Arabidopsis thaliana: one gene and its partner. The protein of the gene in region 1 interacts with the protein of each later gene in a pairwise test. Each region holds a gene or a part of one and is shown on either strand. Other genes may lie near its edges.

Region 1 (5,222 bases):
TCCGCGCTTTCGCTCAGAGGACTGCACAATAATACGCAAACACCTTAGATGAAAAGACATGTGGTACAACAACAACAACAATAACCATATTTTGATATTCAAGTTCTGTATCAAAACGATGCATATCTATATTCAACTGCTTGCAATATAACTGAGTGACTCAACTTTGTGGGACTTACTTTATCAGGATAGGTTCATAGGCAGTCACTAAGACATCTGTATCAACTCCCTTAAGACGAATATTTGCCACATATACCTGCAGAATCATATAAACCAGTTGGTGTCTCAAGTAACAAACCCCTTTAGAATAAATAGAGAGACAGAACAAGGAGAAGCTTCATACTCTCACTAGGTTTTGTGCTTCTCTTCCCTGTCTTCCTTTGGATATAGCCTGTAATGATCCTTGTTAAGGAGAAAACAAATAGAAAGGAAAATTATGAGCAAAGACATCATATGTTTATGGACATTACCATCTCTCCAATAGCAGTTGTCGCAACAGCAGAGATGTTTCTGAAAGACAGTCCAGGCGCCTCAATGACCTCTGATTGCTCAATCAACTGAAAATTACACAGCAACATTACTAGATTGTCTTCTTCATATATATCATCAATCTTGGTAAAGATTAACCAAAAACACACCAGTATTAGTTCTATTTCGACTAGTTTCAGAGACTGAATCCACAATAACCAAAAAACAGCCTCACTAGTATCATCACAGGCAAAAAGGTTCCAACTTTGGGAAATCTATACACGTTAAACTCTATGTTTGTACTCAAGATACTAGATGTATTCTAGAGAAATAACAACACTAGTTCTTAAAGTTGGTTTGTCTACCATAAGAAGAGTTCTAGTGTAGTAGTGGTATTACCTGAAATCCTTCAGCATCTTGCTCACTCGCAAGATCATTAAGGAACCAAGAGGCACTGCCAATGTCACCAACCTCAGCCTTGAAATCCAACAACTCAAAAATCAAACTCTCATCTCTTGAAGGATCCACAAACACTTCCTGTGAAAACCAAACAATCAAACACAAATACAGAGTAAACTAGAGATTCTTCTACACATGTACTTACAAACAATGCCACTGAGAATAGAACCACCAAACCTGATGATCTGGAACTTGTCGGATATTACTCACATCCTGAAGATTCACAATAAGGAAGAAATGAGGAAACCAGTGAATTTCAATTAAGCAGCGAAAAGGGTTTTATTGAAAGAACCTGAAATCTTTGAGGGAAGACGGTGGAAATAGCGCCACCAAACAAAGGCCTCACCGAACATAACTCAACAGACATGTTTTGCTACATTCAAAAAACAAAATCCTCAAAAAACTAAACTTTGCCAGAAAAAAAAAATGCACTCACAAACATAACAGAATCGATTAGGGATTAAAGAGAAGAGAGAAGAGTACCAAATTGATCGATTGATGTATCTGGGGAAGTAAAAGAGAAGAACAAAAGTAGCAGAGAAATCAAAAAGTTGGAGTTTAGTATTTATATGAAAGTCAGAATCGAAAGAAGCGTTGCTTTGACGTCCCAACAAGTAGCTTTAACTTAACGCAAACAATTAAAAAAACAAACGATTAGCGTTCTTCAATCAACAATGTCTGCACTCTGCAAATTCACGATTGAGAAGAATGAGAATTACCAAGCGACATCGTTTAAATTAATACCGTAGTTTTTTTTAACAAAAGCCCAGGCCCATCTGTTTTATCTAGCCCATTTTAAACAAATAGAGATAATCAAAACCACTGGGATAATAATAAGATTTAATTTTTTTTCTTCCGCTATCATCATCAATCATCATCATCATCGTCTTCAAGACTTCAACCTTCAAATTCTTCATCACAAACCCTAACCTCCAATTTCTGATTCTACGATTGATCTAAGGTTTTAATCAATTCTTCTATCATCATGATTTATTCCTCGAATTTTTTCCGATTTTCCTTTGAACTGATTTTGTGGTCTCTCTTACTTTTTGGTTCAGTTTCATTTTCAACAATGAGTAATCAGAAGAAGAGAAATTTCCAGATTGAAGCGTTTAAGCAACGAGTCGTCGTTGATCCAAAATACGCCGATAAAACTTGGAAGATCCTTGAACATGCGATTCATGAGATTTACAATCACAACGCTAGTGGTCTCAGTTTCGAAGAGCTTTACAGGTACACTTCCATAGATTTCACTTTGATTCATCTCTTGTTGTTGTTGTTCTGCTAAACTTTGGTCGCTTATTTCAGAAACGCATACAACATGGTTCTACATAAGTATGGTGATAAGCTTTATACTGGACTTGTTACCACTATGACATTTCATCTCAAAGAGATATGTAAGTCTATTGAAGAAGCTCAAGGAGGAGCATTTTTAGAATTGCTTAATAGGAAATGGAATGATCATAACAAAGCGTTGCAAATGATTAGGGATATTCTCATGTATATGGATCGTACTTACGTTTCTACTACTAAGAAAACTCATGTTCATGAGCTTGGACTTCATCTCTGGAGAGATAATGTTGTGTATTCGAGTAAGATTCAGACTAGGCTATTGAATACGCTTCTTGATTTAGTTCATAAGGAACGGACTGGTGAAGTTATAGATAGGGTGTTGATGAGGAATGTGATTAAGATGTTTATGGATTTAGGTGAATCTGTTTATCAAGATGATTTTGAGAAGCCGTTTTTGGAAGCTTCTGCTGAGTTTTATAAGGTTGAGTCAATGGAGTTTATTGAGTCTTGTGATTGTGGTGAGTATTTGAAGAAAGCTGAGAAGCCTTTAGTGGAAGAAGTCGAAAGGGTTGTGAATTATTTGGATGCTAAGAGCGAAGCGAAGATTACTAGTGTGGTTGAAAGAGAGATGATTGCTAACCATGTGCAGAGACTAGTTCATATGGAGAATTCAGGTTTGGTTAATATGCTTTTGAATGATAAGTATGAGGATATGGGTAGAATGTATAGTTTGTTCCGTAGGGTTGCTAATGGTCTTGTAACGGTTAGAGATGTTATGACTTTGCATCTTAGGGAAATGGGAAAACAGTTGGTTACTGATCCAGAGAAATCAAAGGATCCGGTTGAATTTGTGCAGCGTCTATTGGATGAGCGGGATAAGTATGACAGAATTATCAACATGGCATTTAACAACGATAAGACGTTCCAGAATGCGCTAAATTCTTCGTTTGAGTATTTCGTCAACTTGAACACACGTTCTCCTGAGTTTATCTCCCTGTTTGTTGATGATAAGCTACGAAAAGGACTAAAAGGTGTGGGAGAGGAGGATGTCGATCTTATTCTTGATAAGGTGATGATGTTGTTTCGCTACTTACAGGAGAAAGACGTTTTTGAGAAATATTACAAACAGCATCTGGCGAAAAGGCTTTTATCTGGAAAAACTGTGTCGGATGATGCAGAGAGGAATCTGATAGTGAAACTGAAGACGGAATGTGGGTATCAATTCACTTCGAAACTTGAAGGTATGTTCACTGACATGAAGACCTCACACGACACGCTGCTAGGATTTTATAATAGCCATCCCGAGCTTTCAGAAGGACCTACACTTGTTGTTCAGGTTCTCACAACCGGTTCTTGGCCCACACAGCCAACCATACAATGTAACCTACCTGCAGAAGTTTCTGTTCTGTGTGAGAAGTTCAGGTCATATTACCTCGGGACTCACACCGGTAGGAGATTGTCTTGGCAAACGAATATGGGAACAGCAGATATCAAAGCAGTGTTTGGAAAGGGTCAGAAGCATGAACTAAACGTTTCGACTTTCCAAATGTGTGTCCTTATGTTGTTCAACAACTCTGATCGACTAAGCTACAAAGAGATCGAACAGGCAACTGAAATCCCCACCCCAGACCTAAAGCGTTGCTTGCAGTCAATGGCGTGTGTAAAAGGTAAAAACGTGCTAAGAAAAGAACCAATGAGCAAGGAGATAGCAGAGGAGGACTGGTTTGTTGTGAACGACAGGTTCGCAAGCAAGTTCTACAAAGTGAAGATAGGAACTGTGGTGGCACAAAAGGAGACAGAACCAGAGAAGCAAGAGACAAGACAGAGAGTAGAAGAAGACAGAAAACCTCAGATCGAAGCAGCCATCGTGAGGATAATGAAGTCTAGACGAGTGTTGGATCACAACAACATAATCGCAGAGGTCACCAAACAGTTGCAGACGCGGTTCTTGGCAAACCCAACAGAGATAAAGAAGAGAATTGAATCACTCATTGAGCGTGATTTCTTGGAGAGGGATAATACAGACCGGAAACTTTACCGCTATCTAGCGTAAAAAAGTCTGGATTGATTACACGGTCCCTCTGTTTATTTCGCATCGTTTCTTCTGTTAGTCAGCATTTCTTATTTGTTCTGTAGTCTGGTAAGTTATAAACATTTTGTTTCCGTTTTGAAAAGAAAATATTGATTTGCCTGTTATTGATCAAACCCATATACATCATCAAAGATATATAACCAGAGCGAGCATTTGCTTAACGGACTAATCTGTGCATCACACAGTTGCTTAACGGATATCTCCAACGTAGCTAAAAAGCTTGGTCTCTCTAATAATAACAATCTTCTCATACGAAAAGCTGCAGAATTTGGCCGTTTATGCGATGTCTAATTCGATTCTTCAATCATCGGAATCGTAAGATAACTCTTTACACTCAATCCAAAATGATACAATCTCCTTCCTTCTTCATTGAAATTGAATTTTTTTTGTATTGACTAATTGAATCACAGGGCGAGATTTGTAAAGCTGTTATATGTCCTGAAATCGCAGCATCTAGGTATAATGGAATGTTAAAGACTTATGTGTGCATTGATTTGGGTGATTGAAGTAGCTTAAGGTAGACAAGCTTAGGTTGATTGAAGTTTGTGGGACATCAGAATCTGAATTTCATTGTGTAAGTAGCACCAGTTTCTCTAACATGCAATTCAATCTTCAAAGTACTGATTTAGGACTGTGTGATCAAACAGGACTTGACCTCCATGATGGACCTTTGCTTTGACTTTTTTCGCGTATCAAAGGAAAAGAAAGATCTTAAGGAAACAAAAGGAAGTAAAAGTAAGGTTCTATCATTTGTGGTATACATATTGTTACAATGGCTCGATCCGGTGAACGATTATTAAAACAATAAGTGCTTATGTGCATAATTTTGTGTAGGTTTGGTTGATGTGGTACCCCAAAAGAAGAGGAGACTTGATGATACACATCTGATGATGAGGTACTTCTTTTGCTA
Region 2 (3,968 bases), on another chromosome or scaffold:
ATCTAAATCAAAATCTATTATTTAAAATTTACATATAATAAAACTGTTATATTAATCTATAGGCAGATTTTTCCTTATTTATCATCTGGCCTGAGGAGTGTTCATATTTTTACAGGGTTATCATTAGGATTTTGCAGCTCTTAGGATCAAATAGACAAAAGATCATCATGTTGTCTACAAAGAGTAGATGGTTGACACTGAGACCGCCTTTTGCCTCTTTGATTCCTGGAAATTTTCCTTATCTTTTGTTAGGCCTAGGTTTGTTTATTCTTTTATCTTACCAAGTTCAATGTTGAAGATCTCATACTCGTTTATACAGAGTAAAGGACTCCTTCATAGAACAGTAGTGATGGCTTTAGTTTGGACCTGTCATTACCATTCACGAAATCTGGTGGATAGACTGATTCGTTTGGTATTCGATGAAAGTATAATCTTGAAATGCTTTAGTTTATCTCTATTTTTACCCTCATTTGGCGTGAGTTTGGTCACGGTATTGGTTTCAAGTTCAAACCTTTGTGACTTCAATCTTATCATGCCTCAAGTTTATTGGGTGGTGCATCTCGACTCTCTCGAACTTTTTGGAAGAAACCGCCATCGCTATTCTTGTCACCTCAACTGTTGCCACCGTCACTACCAAATTTTGAAAAATGTTCAATTATTAAAAACATTTTATTTTATTCTATACTATTTCAACATTTCATTTTTTTTTTGCTAAGAATGTAAATATTTCATATAATGAAAAAGTTTTAGGAATTACATGAAGTAGATCCTATGGTTTGGTCCTATGGCAAAAAAAGGATTAAAAACATGGAAGCAAAAACAATCGGTCCATTGATATCGATAAAAGCAGTGACGCTTTTGAAATCAATGAAGCGATAAAACGAGTCTGAAGTTTTCTAAATTATAACACCTCAAGAAGAAGCATCATGCTGTCAAACGGTAAAGATCGAGTCAAAGAAACTAAAACGAAAGGAAGCCTTTCACTGGTAACCCAAGAACCTGAGCCGTCAACGGTGTTGAAACAAGGAGCAAACAAACACCCACTCCATCTGCGTCATATCAACTCCGAAACGAGGCAGCAAACAAAAGAACACATCAAAAACAAGGCAAGACAACATCAAAGGGGCTTGGACATAAAACGGAGAAGCAGGATTTTAAAGTAAACCGAGAGCAGGATCGATGAAACACGAGAAATGAGAAGACACCTATGCAGTTTAGCCGTAACAAGCTACACGCTTGATCAAAGGAGCCAGACGCTCGAAGCTCCAAACACACACACCCGCAACATTCAGAAAATACGAGAACCAGACGCCAAACCGATATAATCCGAGCAAAATCACCGGATTGAGAGCAGCAAGAGAACCAAGCTCCAAGGAAGCTCTCAGAACTGACGTAAACGCAAAGAGACCTCAACAACCCTCCAAAAATCTACTTTCGTCGTCACGCAAGTTGGATCAGAATGGAAAGATGCAGCACCACTTGCCTCCATGCCGTCAAGCTCCGGCGACCATCACTCACACGCCTGAAGAAACTCGGACCCTGATGCCAAATCGAAGAAGAAAGCTGAGAACCTCAGCAACAGTAAGCCTCATTAAGAGGTAGCCCTTTCGCAGCGCCGGACACTGGAGAGGCAATCGGAAAAGACGATGAAAAGCTTTGGTAAATTTGAGAGAAAAAGTCGTCGCTTAAAGATATATATCATTTTTTAAGTTTAAAATTTATTATACTGTTTTTACATAGAAGTTTAGAATTTAGTATTTTAAAGTTAAAGTTAATTTGCGTAAATTCGTGGAAAATAGTATAATACAACATTATATTCATATAGATTATATGTCGTACAACTTGTTTATAACTATAAACACTATTGACCATTATCTAATTTCATATCTAATTTAAAAAAATTCAAATTATGTTTTACGCAAAATAGATTTAAAATGTTGCATTTAAAAATATATATATATATGCTCAAATTATTAATAATAAGTTAATAAAAAATGGTAATTTTTCCAATCCTCATCTTAGTTTTTCAAATAAAATGCTATATTAGTAATTATGTTTAGTTAATTTGGTTACCACCAAATAGATCCATAATTCCATATCATAAAATTATAACCACAGTGCGGATACGAACTACTCGTGTTAATTACTCCAAAAAAAAAGCAAAATCGCAAGAGAGACCTTAAACGACATCGTTTTCAGATGAGGAGACACCACCACCGATGCCAAATCGGCTCCGATAGCGAAACCGGATCCGAATCCGATTCCGATACCGACACGCCGATGCGATGCATCTCTTGTCGAGAAGAGTACCTCCCTCGCAACGCCGGGACCTGCAAGGAATGCTACGTCGAAGCCGGCGAAACTGAAGAAGAACTCAAACGCGAGATCGATGACCTCAAAGCTAAAGTTGCTTTCCTTCGCTTATCTTCTTCTCTTGATCATGGAACTAGTTCAACCTCTAGATCCTTCACTGATGTTGTTCTCATCGCCTCTGAAGATAACGCCGGATCTCCTCCTATTCCCGCTCATAAATCCGTTCTGGTTCGTTCTCACATCACTAAAACCCTAATTTCTCTGAAATTATTTGATTAATTTGATTTGAAATTTGTAGAATTGACTTGTGATAATCTCTGTTTTTGATGGTTTAGATATGAATCTATTTGATAGATTAGAAATAGAGAGAAAGAGAAAGAAAAAATATTAGGGTTTGTTGTTACTTAGGAACCATTTGGCTAATTTTGAGAGTTAGGGTCTGTTCTTGTGTTCTATGTTTTAGGAAGAAGAGCAGTGTTTTTGTACACTTGTGCTGAAATTGATGATATGTGTGAATATTGCTACCAGGTGAGTCGTTCTCCAGTTTTCAAAGCAATGCTTGAGAATGAAATGGAAGAGAGTCTAAGCGGCACGATCAAGATCAGCGACGTATCTTATGACGCTCTTCGGACTTTCGTATATTATCTCTATACAGCTGAAGCATGTCTTGATGAGCAAATGGCATGTGATCTTTTGGTCATGTCAGAGAAATACCAAGTGAAACATCTCAAGAGTTATTGTGAGAGGTTTTTGGTTACCAAACTCAGTCCGGATAACTCTCTCATGACCTATGCCTTTGCACACCAGCACAACGCGAAACATGTTCTCGATGCTGCGTTGTCGCAGATCGTAGAAAATATGGATAAACTTACTAAAAGAGAGGAATATATGGAGCTCGTGGAGAAGGATCCTCGTCTTATCGTTGAAATTTATGAAGCCTATCTCTCGAAACAGGTTAATACGGCAGCTGGAGGAACTAGTACGAGCAAAACTAGTTGAAATTTTCTTTATTGTCGACCTAAACAAGAGTAGATTCTGGTTTACCTTCATTTCGTTTTTAGGTATAGTATGGTTAGGGTCACCAAAACATGGGGTTTGTGTTTGTGAAGCACTAGAAATCGACCGGAGTTTAGTGTTCGTTGTTAAGAATGTATTTTAGTGGTCACCAGTTTGAAACCATGCTAAAGAAATTAAGAAAAGAAGCCAATGGAGATATTTTCAAATCAAATAAAAGTAGCAAATGAAACGTTTTAACACTTTAAATCAAAGGTAGAGAGGAACAAACAGCTCAAATCTTCCAAACCTGAAAACCTAAACCGCTAACTAAAAACTTTAATCAACAACCCTCTGTTTTGTTCCCACTCGCCTTCCCCTCTGCCGATATATAGAGTTCGGAGGTTAACTTGGTCAGACGGTGTAGAATCATCTGCCTTCCAAGCTTCCAATCATCAATCTTATGTTTGTCGCCTTCTGCTCGCACCTCTGCTTCGAGCCCACCGGTTCCTTATGATCATACCGCGAATTCCCCGGCTTGAGATGGCAGCCGAACGCGGTTGAAGACGGCCCAGGTCGAATGCTCCAAGCTCGAATACCCCACCTTCCATTTCGTCATCCGACGAATCACTGTAATCGTCACTGTCATCTTGATGATCATA

What was found.
Region 2: the proteins of CUL3B (region 1) and AT4G08455 interact in a two-hybrid assay, tested with the Arabidopsis thaliana proteins (one study listed by BioGRID).

The regions. Positions count from the first base shown.
Region 1 is NC_003070.9:26,201,220-26,206,441, reverse strand, and holds CUL3B (cullin 3B), read left to right. Parts: upstream 1-1,646; 5' UTR 1,647-1,888; intron 1,889-1,985; 5' UTR 1,986-1,999; coding exon 2,000-2,160; intron 2,161-2,235; coding exon 2,236-4,273; 3' UTR 4,274-4,456; downstream 4,457-5,222. Other genes in the region: AT1G69680 (ran guanine nucleotide release factor, putative (Mog1/PsbP/DUF1795-like photosystem II reaction center PsbP family protein)), read right to left, coding at 1-21, 180-256, 344-391, 471-557, 868-1,005, 1,105-1,140, 1,220-1,294. UniProt on the Arabidopsis thaliana protein: Component of the cullin-RING ubiquitin ligases (CRL), or CUL3-RBX1-BTB protein E3 ligase complexes which mediate the ubiquitination and subsequent proteasomal degradation of target proteins.
Region 2 is NC_003075.7:5,373,611-5,377,578, forward strand, and holds AT4G08455 (BTB/POZ domain-containing protein), read left to right. Parts: upstream 1-2,103; 5' UTR 2,104-2,199; coding exon 2,200-2,541; intron 2,542-2,841; coding exon 2,842-3,312; downstream 3,313-3,968. Other genes in the region: AT4G08460 (hypothetical protein (DUF1644)), read right to left, coding at 3,768-3,968.